2 linked regions of the Lepisosteus oculatus genome follow. The protein of the gene in region 1 purifies or fractionates together with the protein of each later gene. This does not show direct contact. Links are inferred from orthologs where the notes say so. Each region holds a gene or a part of one and is shown on either strand. Other genes may lie near its edges. The genes, in order: xpo6 and zmat2.

Evidence for each region.
Region 2: the proteins of xpo6 (region 1) and zmat2 purify together in Homo sapiens (co-immunoprecipitation; 3 studies listed by BioGRID and IntAct, with this or other methods). This does not show direct contact. The link is inferred for Lepisosteus oculatus from reciprocal best matches to the Homo sapiens genes XPO6 and ZMAT2.

The regions. Positions count from the first base shown.
Region 1 is NC_090714.1:6,633,150-6,641,370, forward strand, and holds the start of xpo6 (exportin-6), read right to left. Parts: upstream 3,102-8,221; 5' UTR 2,520-3,101; coding exon 2,517-2,519; intron 1-2,516. UniProt on the Homo sapiens protein: Mediates the nuclear export of actin and profilin-actin complexes in somatic cells.
Region 2 is NC_090706.1:32,663,216-32,670,992, forward strand, and holds the start of zmat2 (zinc finger matrin-type protein 2), read left to right. Parts: upstream 1-4,604; 5' UTR 4,605-4,609; coding exon 4,610-4,708; intron 4,709-5,376; coding exon 5,377-5,467; intron 5,468-6,111; coding exon 6,112-6,235; intron 6,236-6,697; coding exon 6,698-6,771; intron 6,772-7,134; coding exon 7,135-7,280; intron 7,281-7,777. Other genes in the region: dnd1 (dead end protein 1), read right to left, coding at 631-760, 2,197-2,211. UniProt on the Homo sapiens protein: Involved in pre-mRNA splicing as a component of the spliceosome.

The sequences.
Region 1 (8,221 bases):
TTGATTGTTAGAACTGGCACTGTGTAAGTGAAATAAAATTACAATTCATGTATCAACAAAAAAACAACGTATGTCTGTATAGGTATACACAAGCACTGTTTCCCTATAGCATACAGTACATTAACTAGTAGATCCTAACCACCAGCTAGGATGAATGCCCAACAGAAGTAATATCGACAAGTATGCCCATCTACGACACAAGATTACTCCCTAGTTACAATACAGTAATATTACATTACTGTAGTAATATTACCATGTTATTTCTGATGAATCGCATGAATGCTTATGAACCTCAGATTGTACATGAGTACACAAAACTGTGTAGGAACAAGGAAATCTTCCATGTACAATGGAATTGCAGGCATAAATGCCTCAAGTAAAGGTATGCAAAAGTCACAAGATTTAAGGTAGGAAGGGGGGACCCATCTCTGTAAATATCTATGCCATGCAACAGGAAAGACTGCGATTTAAAAACAGGAAGCATCCCGATATCCAAGAGAAACTGGGGTCACTGAAATCACAAGTACAGCAGCCACAAGGCTGCATCTGCAGGTTGAACTAGAGGAAGGCCAACTACAGCAGTTCAACCACCTCAGGACTTCATATCACTGCTCACCTCCACTCCCAGAGAGACACTGACTCACAGCAGAAACACTCACCAGCGCTGTCGTTTCTATTTGGGTATCCACTAATCAACTACTGCTATTTACAACTGTCTTGGCAATTAACACACTTACTGACGAAATTCTATACAGTAACTTGAACACTAAAGATCCCCACTAGACAAGCTTCTAGGGCCACTTCTAGGTAGAAAATACAAACCCATCATCTCAGTTCTCTAGAAAACCTACAGACTGAGGCCAACAGTTGGCAGATGACATTTAACAGACCAGAGCAGAGTGTTACAAGCAGGTAGCAAAAATGGAAACTGAAAATGAGCTAATGCTGAGCTCAAAGAAGGGTGCCTTAGAAAAAGACTGAAACGTTGACACTTTTCTGCCTTAGACAATGCAATAAAAAGGCAAACAGAATGTTAGGATGTGTAGTTAGAAGTATACAAAGTAAATCATGGACTGCTAGATTAAAACTGCGCCATGTTCTAGTAGCGTGATATTACAACTGATATCCTGATTTCTTTCAAGGAAGGGTTGGAATAGATCTTCAGATCAATGGATGAATATCTACCAAACTTACAAGACAAGGCCTCATTTATGACCTTTCCTACAGGTTCCAAACGCCTAAGATCACAGTGATACAGCCATACAGAGGGTAATAACAGAAGATGGTGAAGATCTGGAGAAGGCTCCACAGTCTAAACTTTGTGTTTCTTTTCTTCTCTTTTCAGCATGGAATAAACCTATTACTTGTTCCTTTGCGGCCTACACCTGGACTACTATAGAAGATGGTGTCCAGCTATGTCACAGATAGATCTGACAGCACAATAATAATACCCTGGAGAATCTTCACTTTTCACTATGAAGATGTTTTACATGTTAAAAGGACAGGGCCTATTTCAGGTCTAGTCATGGGGGACGACACGAAAAGACATATTCTCTATATGAATCAGCAGACCTCCTGATTCTCGCGGCAATGTTGGGCCTGTGAAAATCCAACATCTCCAATATTTTGTACAGGAGCGTGGAAGTGAAAGAGAGCTGGAAGAAAGGAGGGGGAAACGGAGCAACACTTCCACATCCACGTAGGAAGTCAGCAGGCACGATCTGATCGTGGAAAACATACCTGACATTTTCTACCGTACCGGTAAATTCATTGCGTCACCAAAAAAAAAAACCCGTCACTGATGCGTAAAAAACAAAACTGTTGTGTTTACAACAGTGGAATTCAGGAATAAGCCAGAACACGCAAAGGATCGGGGATTCAAATATTTATCGTTTAACTAGCTACCTGGGAGGCTTGAGTGCCAAAGCGATCTCATTTCCTGCTCTGCACAGAGGTCTTCCAAAACGCACACGTACGGGGATTTAAGACCATGAGGTCACGAACTAAAACCAGGCAAGTCCAGCTTCCAGGTGGGGCTGCGCACTGGTGGTGGAGGGGAGTCCCCATTAAAGCGCTTTGAGTGGGGTGTCCAGAAAAGCGCTATATAAGTGTAAGCAATTATTATTAATTCGGGAAGGCAGTGCGTAGGTGACTTCAACACACCGAATTCGTATTTAGACACCAACATGACTGTATTAGATGCCCAAATACACGGCTGCTGTAACGCCAGTTACATTTTTGAGCCGACAAAGCGATCGGCGTTTAACTTTAACGCGTAGCCGAGCACGGTCCCCGCGTTCAAGCCCCCCAAGCGCCCCCCGACCCGGGATGGAAATGCGGTTTCACGCACTACAGCCCCCCAGGTGTCGAGGCCAGCATTTCTGCTCACGGATGCCTCCAGCGAGAGAGGGTCCCCGCGGAAAGGGGGAAAACAGGTGTCACCCGAGTTCTGCGAAGGAAGAAGGGGGTTGCATTTCAGGAATGGCGATACCCGAGTTGCATCAAGAGCCACTCACCATTCCTGGAGCCAGCGTTGCGCCTCCGGGCTGTTCGGACTATTGCTTCAATTTGAGGTGTTGGCTGTTTCTCTTCACGTTCATACCTCCCCGTCTACTGACAGCAGAACCCGCTCGACTGCTCGCCCCTGAAAAAAGCACAGGCTGCCGGTGTGGCCACACAAACCGTAATACTTGATGCGCTGCCCTCGATACGGCTGCTGTTGATAAATCCTGCAGCCCAGGGTCCGCTATGGTGGGGGTGGGTGGGGGGTGGAGGGGGAGAGAGAGTCTTTACGGGACTCTTTTTGGGGAAAACCGGATGAAAACAGTGGCATAAAACCAGCGAGCAAAGCCCTTTCCTTCCATAAAACCCGCCGCGCCCCCTGAGATGTCGTCTTTGGGAGGAGGGGAGGAAAAAAACCCAAACACAGTACACTACGATAAAATAGACAAGTTCCTATTTTTCAGGTTGTTTTCTCCAGCCTCCTAGTAACTCTGCAGGTCTCCTCTCCAGTCAGGCCTCAGAACTTCCTCTCCGCGCAGCCCCTCCCCGCCGGAAGTGAAATCTTAATCTCGGGCCGGATGGAACCGGCTGCAGCCAGCCACGCGCTCGGGACTAGCGGTCGCGCTGTAGTTCGGGCTGGGCGCGGGTACGTCAGCGCCCGGGGCAGAGCCGTGAGAAAGAATGCGACCTTACAGCATCTGCCCCACGTGTGTAGCACAGACGCGAACGTACAGATGAACATCGAGCAGGGCGGCTTCCCGGCGCAGGCATGAATATCTCATACAGCCGCGTTTAAAAAAAAATAAAACTGAACACGTTAAGGCATATCAAACAGGAACGAAATAGTTAATAATATACTAGAACGATTTATTTACATGAAGTTGCAGAGTTAGTGTCAGCCCCAGGCTGATGTTCAGCGCACACGTCTGCGTTGAAAAACCAGTACGAGCAAGCCTTTCTGTGCGATTTGAGTCATTTTTAGGTATTTCATCTTTGCGAGCAATAGATTACATCAGCAAATTAAGCCCACTTGTATTTCGTTTTTTCTCCGCATGTCTCTGTATACCAGGATTCTCCTTGCGAATTGCATTGTTTTTAAGGGGACTACAAAAAGAGGTTTTTAACACTTATTTTTAAAATTTAATACTAAATAGACAGCAGGCTCCATCGCTGGATTTCAAACTCAATGCGGCTACATGCAATTTGAAATAAAAACGATAACCCTCCCATTTCTGCATTGAAAAAAATGTTTTCTTCCTTAGTTTCTATTTTACCGCCCAATGGGCAGATATACTTGCGCATAAAAAGTCTTCCAGACATTTTTGTGAAACGCTCTGTGGAAATGTGCAATCAAGGGTGTTATACATAACAAAGGATGACTAATTAATCACCCACCAGCTGCAGAACTTCATATACCCGAATTTCAATCCACCCTTGCTACTGCACTAGCCGGGCAATTTCTGTGTTTCTTAAAGGCGTAGAAATTAGTTAGCATGCAAAAGGAAAGTGACACTGAAAAAAAACCACACAGTAACCTCACCGTGTATGCAGAGGTTATAAATGAGGTCACAGGCCACATTTGAAGTTGTCAGCCTGCTTCAAAGGGTGAGGAGTTCTCATGATATGATCCACAGTGTTCTGTGTGCGGGAATCCTCTTTGAAACATTATGTCCAGCGAATGCCTTCAATGTTCAGATTAAGAGGAAATATGTAACGCTCACAGAAATACTACCTGAAATGCTACTGTTACGGACGTTACAATGGACAATACAGTAAATTTACACTTCTCTGGCTTCGAAGCACGGAGTAGAAACAACGGATCGAAGACGGGTTTCAGGGGGTCTGAGTGATATTGATCAAATTGGACTGTCTGGTTTACCTTGGTTAATTAAACTCTTTGTAAGTCATTACAAGTCATTACCAGCCCAGGACCAAAAGATAAAAGTTAGGTGAGCAGAAGCAGGAAAAACACAGGCCTTGTTTGAATCAACCACAAAGGCCAGATTCTAGTTAGGTGTTTGAATCTTATTTAAAAGTGCTCGCCGTTCTGTTATTTTAATTTTTGTAGAAAACTCTGATTTCCTCCATAAGGAATCCCCAGGTTAAAAAACGTCCTCCCCTCGTTAGGGGATGCACATTTGTAGACGAGGGAAATAATGTCACATCCTCTTTGGATCATCTGGATTTAAAGGAAAGGACATTTAATTATCGGTTTAATTCTGTTTTATGTAGGATAGGGGTTTAGCTCTCTTGTGAGCCTGTTTAGGCATTATATAAGTTTTCTGAGCACTGGGTTTGCTCTCTGGATTTTTCTGGTTGGTCAGGACGTTGTCCTCTGAGATGCCTTGTTTCTAAGAAGCGTTATGTTTTATGTTGTATGTGTGTAACTTTGTGTATTGTCTAGTTATTGTCCTTGTTAATAAATATTTGCATGTCTTAGTTTGCCTCTCGTTTATTACTCTTTCTCCAAAGTGCCAGAGAACACAGAACTCAGGTGTCTGTAACTATGCCAAACTCTTGAGAATATTCTTAGCATATCTTTTTGGGTGTTATGATTATTTATTTTAATTATTGATTATCCCACTCCATATTTTCTATTTTTATCTCCTCTATTTGTAACAATACGATTCCAGTTCAATAGATCCAGCAGGTTTCACTGAACTTAAAGTGGGGGAGCCTAAAAAGACTATTGGTTTAACATGCTCCTAGCTGGGGAGGGAAATGTTTTCCATTTGTCACTTGGGACTTTGACCAGAGATGGAGACGTTGCATTAGAGAAGCAGGGGATTTAAATTTCATCTGCCTGGTAATTAAAATGTCAAATATAATTTGCGTCTCAGAAAGCACATGCGAGCAGGATGTCCTGGTGAAACCCCTGAGATGAATTCCCACACGCCAGCCGACATGTCATTTCTGCTTCACACTGTCCAGATGACCTCAGTGGGGGAGTTTGTCGCATTTCTCATTTTTGGTCTTCGTCAAGCTGCTCCTGAAGTGACTCAGGTCTGTCTCGACAAGCAGAAAGACCTGCTAATGCTAATGCTAATGACAGCACCCATGGTGCACCAGTACACTCCAGTACACTCCCCACACACCAGCTCTCAGTGGGGAGGAGAGCAGAGTGATGAATCCAGATCAGAGATGGAGGATTATTAGGAGGCCATGGTTGGCAAAGGCTACAGGTGCCAGGATGGTGGGTTAACATTTCTACTCTTTCCAAGAAATGCCCTGAGATTTTTAATGACCACAGAGAGTCAGGACCTTGGTTTTACATCTCATCTGAAGTACAGGGCCTTTTTTCTAATGACCACAGTTTAACATCTCATCTGAAGGATGCTGCCTTCTTTTTTTTACAGTATAGTGTCCCCACCGCTATACTGGGGCATTATGACTCCCACAGAGGCTCTTTGTATACAGCAATGGCTCCTGCTCACCCTTTTAAATATGTTTTCCCCATCTTCACTGCAGCACTGTGGTTCCGGATTTCTTCACATCTTACACACAGGAGTTTGCAAACACCAAATACGGTAGTTTATTTATCTTCAATTCAATTCAACTTTATTTGTCATTATACTTACCCGGGTGCATAGTATAGTGAAAAGTGTTTCTCATTAGTCTCTCAGGTGCAGTATATAAATAGAACAGCAGACAAGACAGTAGACAGAAATACAATGACAATAACAGTGTAAACAACAGGATGTTGAGTATCTTGAGTTTGGTGTTATGTTTGGATGGACAGTATGCATGTACTCTGTACTTCTTATTATTTAGGAAATGTAAAATTGCACAAAGAAAATCACCAAATGACGAGGCTCTGTCTACAGAGCCTTAATCTGTTTTGCTCAGATCGCAGGTGGAAAGGCGGGATCGCAGTCACGTGAGGATTTTTCTGCTTTGTTCCTGGCATTTTTCTCCCGTTCAATATCGGATAAGTAACCTGGCCATGAGCAAAAGGACAGTGTTCCCAGAAAAGGAGATGCCTGGAGCCAGTCATTTGAAAATCAATTCCCATGTCCAGTGAAGGCCAGGGAACGGCCGTGGTTTTTCAGTGGAGGAACAGGGCGTATTGATCTTTGCTGTCTGTGGGGCCAGGAGGAGATTTGACAAGATTCATAAACATCCTATAAAACTCTATTAGGGACTTTAGCCCATAAATCAGTATGAGTTCCTCCATTAATCCAACATGGGCCCAAGACTGGGGACAGAGATAAGTCAGACAGATTTGCACCGCAGACCTGTTGAAATCCTATAGGGTTTTGCTCTGAAACCCATTACCAGTTATCTTGCAGTTTTTTTTAAATCTCATCTGCCTTTTTTTCCCTCCACTCTATGACACAAGAACTATGTTGCAAACAGCGTGGAACACCTCCTGAAAACTTAAAATTCTTGTTCTGTTCCACGTTGTCTCGCTAACTTGTGGAACGATTTTCCCAATTGTGACGGAACCGCAGTGTACAATCCACTTGTTTCTGGTTAATGCTGAGAAACAGGCAGGTTTCCTGTAGGAAACATGAAGACGTGGTAATATCACAATTCCTGATACTACTGTGACGATGTGCAACATTATTACTCTGTAGTTCTCATCTCTAAATCTACCCCTTACCCTCATTAGCTCACTCAAATCAACACCTCATCTTTGCTCTGGGGCTAGAATGCCTCTTCTATGTTTTACTGTGAATAACAGACACGGGAGAAGAAAGCCAACTTTGTCGCAATGCAGAGCACCGAAGAAAACGTCCTAATCACGATCACTCCCCTTCTGTTTCAGACACAGATCTCAGACGGGTGGCCAAGGCGCTAGCGAAAATGAAACCAAATTACTCTGTGCTGATTCCCTGGGATCCTTCAAGAGGCTAAAAAGTCCCAGATCAATAAGTTGCTGGGCGCTGCACGCGCGTTAATGGACTGCTAGGACTCGCCTTGTCTATTAGGTTGTGTTGATGAAGGGGAGAGGTCGAAAGAATGTGGCTTTTTGATCGCTCAGTTCCCTGGTTCTGTCGATACAGCTTCGCAGAAGTTACCAGCCTCCAGTTGCCAGATATGTATTAATCTTCTTCTGGGGCTTGGCATTCATGTGGGAGGAGGGATTCTATAATGCATCTGGGCAATAAATGCAGGAGACACTCTGGCCGGGGAAAGAGTCACTGTCTCCTGCTCAGAATGGGAATAGAACAAGGGAATAAGAATCTGATCCCTAGATTCATCAGCTTTAAGGTCTTTTACAAGACTCTGCCCTGATCCAGAGCTGCAACACCAGCCAACAACGTTCCCTTCGATTCGTGAAAGATGGGCCCAGCACAGATTGCTGTTCGCTGATGTCAGTGCACGAGCAAGCATCATTAAAGTCTTCCACTGGTAAGTCCTGTCTCTCAGATACAGCCTGTTTGGTGATCCTAGGTGTTTCCTAATGTTTTGTGATTGAAAAGCAGTGCCCATGTTCTTGAAAAGGTACCTCATTTCCACACTCTTTCTTGGTCCAGAACTAAAGTGCTGACCTTATCCAAATAGAACTGAACCTGAAATTGAGGGCAAAATCTGGATCCCCTAGAGCAGAAATCTGTTTTGTTCTTCAGTGTGAATCTGGGAAGTGTCATACTCTCAAGACCACTCTGAGGAACGGCAGGCGCATGGGTTGGCGACAGAATGAGATGGACTTTTTCTTTCCTCCAGGTCTCCTCCCTGTGCGGGTTTTCGGGTTGCTTAAGATGCTGATGCAAAC
Region 2 (7,777 bases), on another chromosome or scaffold:
AAGGAAAGCAGGATTTAAAAAATGGTACTTACTGCTCCGAACATTCTGATTCATTAGCTTCAGTCTAATCCACCCCCACCTCTAGCAGGAGAACTTAAACCCAGGAATTTCACAAATTCCCTAAATACTTCCAGCAAAATGGAAATATCCATGGTTATACACTATACTTGGTTTCAAGTTCCTAGTATATCCATAATTTTAATTTTACATGCTTCATAAAAATCATCATGCTCAGCTCATGTTGAACTAAACTGTCAAATCTTAAACTCCTAATTAAAGAATGCATGTTAATAATGCCTTATCTGTGTTCATTACTGTTGTGCAAAAATCTGCACCATTTACATTCACCATCTAGGAAGACTTGGACATTTAATAAAAATACAACCACAGCTTTTCACTTGAAATGAGTTTCTGTGAATACTGTAGATGGGCTGTAGAGTAGACTAAGGACATGAAATTACCTTTTCAGCCACAGTAACTTTAACTCAGCTCTTGTTCCAAAAGAATTCTTAATTGTTAAGTGATGCAGTATAATAATTAGAAAACCATAACCATAAGTCATAAGTTTATGACTTCCCTATCACTTTTTAAAATTACTGTTTGGATTCAGGATGAGAAAACATGGCTTACCTGCTGGTGGACCTCCATATATTCTCTGTCCATTGATCTGCACAAGAGAGACTCCTGTGCTGTTTTTCCAAGCCTGCAGGGATTCCCAACTTTCTTTGTTCACAAAGTTTAAAATACTATGGGAGCTATCCTAAAACGTCAGAAAGGAAACATCATCTTTACAAGGCACATCTGTACTTAGTATGTCCTGTGTACAGGAGAAATAACTAATGTAATAAGTATATTATATATATATATTATACGAATTCCTTGCCTATACAATGTATTGTGCCTTTTAGCCCAATTTGAATGTTAGGAAAACAAGATTGTTTAAAACCAATATACCAAAGTTAAAAACCCTACCGTTTTGAACAGTTCTATGGCTTCCCTCCGAAATCTACAATCCCAGCATTGTACCAACCAGGCCCAGCTCAGCTTAGACTTTGAGATCAGATGAGATCAAGCTCTAAGGTGGTAATAAAGCTGTATTTATCCAAGACTGCCAGAAAACGTTCTCAATTTCTTTAAGTGCTGTTGGCTTAGAAAACAGTCAACACTAACAAATGTTTACATTATGCTGAACGACAGTAACGTACTGTTATAAAGAATTAGAATAATTCCTTGCTTAAACAAGGAATTCTCACTTCATTTTTTAAAGAAAAAATCTACTTGAACCAATAATTTAACAATCAGGTTGTTCTTTTGTCCTTCTCAACCATTGTGAAAAGAGTAATTACTCTATTAATCTGGAACAGTATTCTTTTTGATAACCTCCCTCCTAAGTAGATTTTTAGTCTATTAGAATCTTATGGAAACTCTTCCTCCAGTACTGACCCTTATATTTCATACACTGGCAATTAAGCCATATATCACTTAATAACTAGAAATGTACCAATTAAATCACACATCTCCGCACTCATATTCAAATATGTACAGATACGTGGGTAGGTGTGGTTTGCCATTTTAAAAGTATTGAAGTGATTTAGTTCTTAGTCTTAGGGGAATGTGATAGGATAATGTGTAAAAGCTTAAATATCGCAAATAAATCACTGTGCAGAGACGGATATTTTATTGATAGTGATAGCAGTTTCAACAACAAATACGACACCACTAAAAACGACATCTTAAAATTAAAAATCTAGAAAAGGTTAGGACAAACTGGAAATCGTTTCAGGAAAATAGGATATATAAGAACAACGATTCACAAACCTAACATTAAAAAAAATGGAATATGCAAAAATAATTTAAAAAATATTAATGCATAATCAAACGGACAACTGACCCAAAAACCGTGTAAACCTCAACCACCCATGTTATAGCTTTTGTTAAGTCTATGAACAGCAGGTGCGCAATTGTATTTTTCGGTGAAATTCCGGCATAAGCGTTTTTGAAAACCAGAACCTGCACAAAAAGTCAAATTAAATGAAAAGGTCTTGATCATTAACAACGTTTTACGTAACTGACCTCTGGGAAAAAAAGTGTCGGCAACACCTTATTTTAGCAGATTGTAACGATTTTGATATTACTGAAATAAAACACCTGCGTATTTTATTTTTTCAATGAGAAAACGTCTAACCTAAAACCTACCGTTGTCGACTCCATTTATAATTCTTTTTCAAAATCTACTGCAACACAAACTGTTCTCAGCTTCGCAATCACTTTTGCATACAACTTTTGACTTCTGGAAACTTCTACAAGCGAGAAAGTATCTTTCTGAATAATTTGCATGTTGTAGGCGGTGCTGCAATGAAGGCGTTGAAATTCGTAAATAACGCACGAATTGGTAAAATCACAATTCAGGGAACAGTTCTTCTGAAATGTAAAAAACAAATCACAGCATGGTCACAACAGCAAAAAAACAAAATCTTACAACATTAGAAAAACGACGTTAATCATGTTCTTAGAATTGGTCTGTGAACGTAGATTATTTCCAGATTATATACGAGTATTGTGCGATGTTTTATGACAACGTTTTAAAAAAGTACATGACATAAATAACTTATCACTTGACTGCTTTCAGGAATTTCACTATAAAATGTTACAAAGCAGATATCGTCGCGTTTCACGCTCATCTGCGTCAGTTACACCAAAACACGTTTTCCGGAGAAGGTGCGATCTGCGTCCACGTGTTATTAAGACGCACTGCCCATGCTGGCCGGCGCTGGAAACGTGGTTACAGACAGCGGGCGTCCACACGAAAGCAGTTATTACGTTTTCCAGAATGTTATATATTTGCTGCTGTCGAGTGATAATCCGTTCATTCTGTGCCTGCAACGGAAGATCGAGCGTAGGATTTTGCATGAGCACGATGAGACGAGCACGTCTCATTGAGCATGATTAAAATCAAATGCGTCAAAGGCCAGAATCATATTCTCTTAGTCGTTTTTCTTTTTTACTTTTTGCTTCTTCTAGGACTTTCCTCTGAAGCTTTTTCGCTCAGTTTCGACCTTCTCGGCACTGGCTATACAAAACGCGGGCTATATCAGCGTAAGCTGCTGTTATCAAATTGTCTTCCTTCTCGCCCGACGTATTTCTGGACCATAATGAAATTCCCAAATAATACATTTGGAAACTACCGCACTTTTTCGCCGTCGTCCTGCGATCGGAACGTTAATGCCTTGGGCAACGCGACGTAGGCTGCAGGACGCGTGCCTGAACTCGAGGTCAGGAGGAGCTGCGGTGTTGATCCGAAAAGACTTCAGCAAGAAGACTGTCGGTTTGTGCTGTTGCATACAGTACCACCAAAGGGAGCTGTCAGTGAGGGCTGTGCGCAGTGTTGTTATGAATCAAAACTACCTTTTTCTGTTTAATGTTGTTAAGAGTTTTCGTCTTGAGAAATACGTTTCGGTACAGTTTTTTTTTTTTTAAATCATGGTTTCAGGTACAAACGAGAGACCATACAGCCCTGTTTAGCAGCTTTGTTAGTTATTAAGTTAATAACTTATAATAAAGTTAGATCAACTTAGATTGGGTATTTCGCAGCTGTGCTATGGATCAATTCCCTCCCATAATAGAAAGGAATACGAGCTGATTGTTACACTGGGAGCATTTCTACTCTAACATAATCAAATTATGCACAGATATTTTTTTTTACAAGGAACTGCAAGGCGTTTACTTTTTTTCGACAAAACCTTAATTACGTCTGCTTGAGACATCCTGTAATATTGTCTATGGGGTCTTATTAATTAAAAGTATATAAGAGTTCATGACCCTTATATGAGACCGGAATGCCCCCCCACGACAGGCTGTAGTGGGACTGGGATGATAGGATTAAAATGGATGTTAATGTTTACACAGCTGCAGTGGAAGTTAGATGAAATACTACAGTGGAGACCTGGTGGCTTCACTACTTATCCTGGACACTTACAGGACGAGAAACTGCAGATCATGCACTGTGAAATACAATAGCCAAAGAGAAAGCAACAGTAAGGAAGTATATAAAGAATATATAAGGTGGTAAAAGAGACAAGACACAGAAAAGTGAGTCACAGAATAGTGGAACTATTACGTTTAACAAGTAAAACTATTTAAAAATTAAAAATGTTCGAAGTACTTACTCCTTTTGTAGAGCAAATATTAAATTACATCTTGTGTGTGTTAGTTTCTGTAAGAAATAATTCTTTTGTGAGATATCAGATATCTGTCAATATCTGCACCACAAATGCTCAAGAAGATTCATGAAGACGAGGGACTTTGCCCGATATTTCCTGCCCAGTGAGGAGTGCTATGATTATAACTTTATAAAATTTATTGTACAAATGTTTTGAAAAACTATAGTTTTGTGGTAACTGATTTTAAACGTAAACTGTTATTTAATACTACTTTTATTACACAAAAATGTTTTTCATCCGTTTATTTTGTACACTGTAGCCCATCCTCATCGGAAATGATGTAAATACTGTGTGTTTCGGAAAAACAATGATAATTGTTCCCCCTTTTGGAAAGAACTCCTGTCCAGAGGGTGGCAGTAAGGTTAATGGTTAAAACGCAGGAAACCCCAATGAACTCTAGGCAATACAGAAACATGGGTATAGTTTTACGTCTACATAATTTACGACAGCCGTATTCTGTTATGAGCAAAATGGCGTCCGGTAGCGGGGTAGGTTTTGAGTGTTCTTTCTTTTTATTTAAAAAACTGCAAGTTTCAATAGTTCTTCAACAAAGAATATTTCCGTTTTTAAAATGTCTACTTCCATTTATCGCGTAAGCGGTTTAATTTGATTATAGCCGCCTTACTGATAAAGTAGTTTAGCTACCAGACCTGATGGTTTAACTAATAATACCCCAGACTGGTGAGAATGTTTTGTTGGTTGAGTATTTTGTAACTTGCCTGAATTATGTACAAATTGTAAGATCATTTCCTGGGGGGTTTATTGAGATGGAGATGGTGTTCTTCGAGATCGTGCTATGTGATATCTAAATGTATTTTTTTTCCAAATACTTTCATACATATATGTGGACAACCATATACATTTTCTATACATCAGACATCTAGAGCAGAGTGACAGTTTGAAGTCCATGTGCATTTTTAAATGACACCTGAAAAGCTATTGCCTGGCTGAAGTCGATTCGGTGTTTTAAGTTTCTGTTCAAGTCGTTATTCTCCTAGGAAAAAAAGTAAAAAGTAAAACAATTTGCTCAAATGACTGTATAGCATTTTTTTATTAACTAGTTTTAACTTCGATATCGCATATATGTCGCTGGACTTATGGTACCTTCTAAAGTTATCGTGTATTTAGTATTGATGCAAAACTCTTTTATTACTAGACAAAAAATGACTTCCGAAGGAAATGGGATAAAGATGAGTATGAAAAGCTGGCTCAGAAGCGCCTCACGGAGGAAAGGGAGAAAAAAGATGGTAAGATAGCCTCTGGCATCCCCTTAGTTTTAACTTTAAACACATTAAAAGTTTTTTTTTGTGTTTGCGTCTTACAGAATCTTATAAGGTGCTAATCATTTTGACTCCTGATGATGTGATAGGAATAAGTACTTTGCGCTAATATAAATACTGTTAAAATAACAGAAGCATGGTGTAGTTTTGAGTCAGATTCCTCCTGGTCATTGTGGTCAATGAGAATTTGTTCTCATTTCACCATTCCATAAAATGCACGAATAATGATTGTGTCATGTAACGGCCCTTTGACTGTAAACTCACAGGTTAGTTACCACACACACTGAAAATTGGATGACTAAATGTGTTTGATAACTTGAGCATGTGGGTACAAATACTATGTTTAGCCTTATTATAGAGGTCCCAAATAACATATAGAAAACCTTCACAATGTGTATTAAAAAGTACTGTTGTAGAAACATAAAATCATTTTTTTAGAGCTGCTACACTAAATCTCACTCAGGTGTAAATAATAAAACCTACATATTTGGGCTTCAGTATGTAGTGGAGGTATGAATAAAAATGTTCTGGCGCCATTAACTGCATTTGTTACATTACAGGCTCATTTAGTGAAGTTTGGTTCATGTCTGGTTGTTTTATTTTTGCATCAGGAAAACCTTCTCCGCCTGTTAAACGGGAGCTTTTACGACACAGGGACTACAAAGTGGACCTGGAGTCTAAGCTCGGGAAAACCATTGTCATCACTAAAACCACCCCGCAGGCGGAGATGGGTGGGTAAGTACTTTCAGGCTCGTCGTCCCACCTGATTGCTCATTCAGAGACAAAATCTTGTTCTAGGTTTTGGTCTTTACTGTTTGTTTGAGATTTCTAAGTCCTGAAACTTATTGGACAAGTGTGTGGTATGGTGATATTCAAATTGTACATACACAGAACAGAAAAAACAATTAATAGTTCACTACTTTCCACTTTTCCACAGGTTTATGTACACCTGATAAATTCTCTTGCATTCAGTTCTTTTAATAGAATACTCTGTAGAGATGGCAAGTTGAAAAAAAGCGAGCTTAGTACTGTCATTGTTAAATGGATTAATCTGTTATACCACAATATAGGAATGCATTAGCTTGAAACTGAAACCAAAGATTAAGAAATGTTATGAGCTGAAAAAGGTATTTTTGGTTATTTTTTCAATGAAATCTTAATTTAACCCCCTTTGTTTGTTTTTCTTTGGGTTTCCAGATACTATTGTAATGTCTGTGATTGTGTAGTGAAGGATTCAATCAATTTTTTGGACCATATCAATGGCAAGAAACGTAAGTACAGACTTTGAGGAACATACTGCTATTTAGCATGAAGGTTTATCTCAGAAATTCTTGCTTTTGCTGTATTAATCTAGATGGTTCTGGTTCTATAGATGTCCAAGACATTTTGCAACACTAAAATAATTTTAAGAATCTCACGTTTGCTTCCTGTACTCATCTTTCATTTTTAATTAAATGTAGTAGAATAATTTACAGAACTTTACAGTGTCTTTACAGAGCAGTATAATTCTGCAGTGCCAATCCTCTCCTCACAATATTATGCTTGAGCATGGATTTCATGTCTTATTTTGCCGCTCTGAGGGAAATTCATTTTTATGAAGGTGTCGGAAATCTTGTCGCTGGCTCTGCTTTCAGATCAGAGAAATCTTGGTATGTCAATGCGGGTGGAACGGTCATCCCTTGATCAGGTGAAGAAACGTTTTGAGATGAACAAGAAGAAGCTGGAGGAGAAACAGAAAGAGTATGACTTTGAAGAGCGCATGAAGGAACTCAGAGAAGAGGTAATTTGCCAAGGGCTTCCAATCACAGTACAGTTTGTTTGCCTTATGCAGTGCAAGTCTAGGATCTACCCTTGATCCCGGAGAGCTGCAGCACCTACTGTTTCAAATGGTAACCAAGCCCCTGGTACCATAATTGAACAAACTGTTGCTCTACACTGGTTAAATTTAACTTATTCAGCCACTAATTCTTGGGTGGCTTCAAAGTGTGAAATATTCAGTGCCCTACAGAACTGTGGTCAGTAACCAGTGTTTTCAGTATTTTTTTTTTTAGTCTTAATTCTAATCTGGTCTGCTTACTTTGGCCTTCAGGGTCTTTCCCTAACAGTTTGGCTTTAGAAAAACTCAAATGGCTTTTGGTGTATTAGTAACTTCACAACAATTTGAAAAAGAATAGAATGATTGGTGGTGGTGGAGGGGAGTCCCCATTACCTGTAAAGCGCTTTGAGTGCAGTGTCCAGAAAAGCGCTATATAAGTGTAAGCAATCATCATCATCATC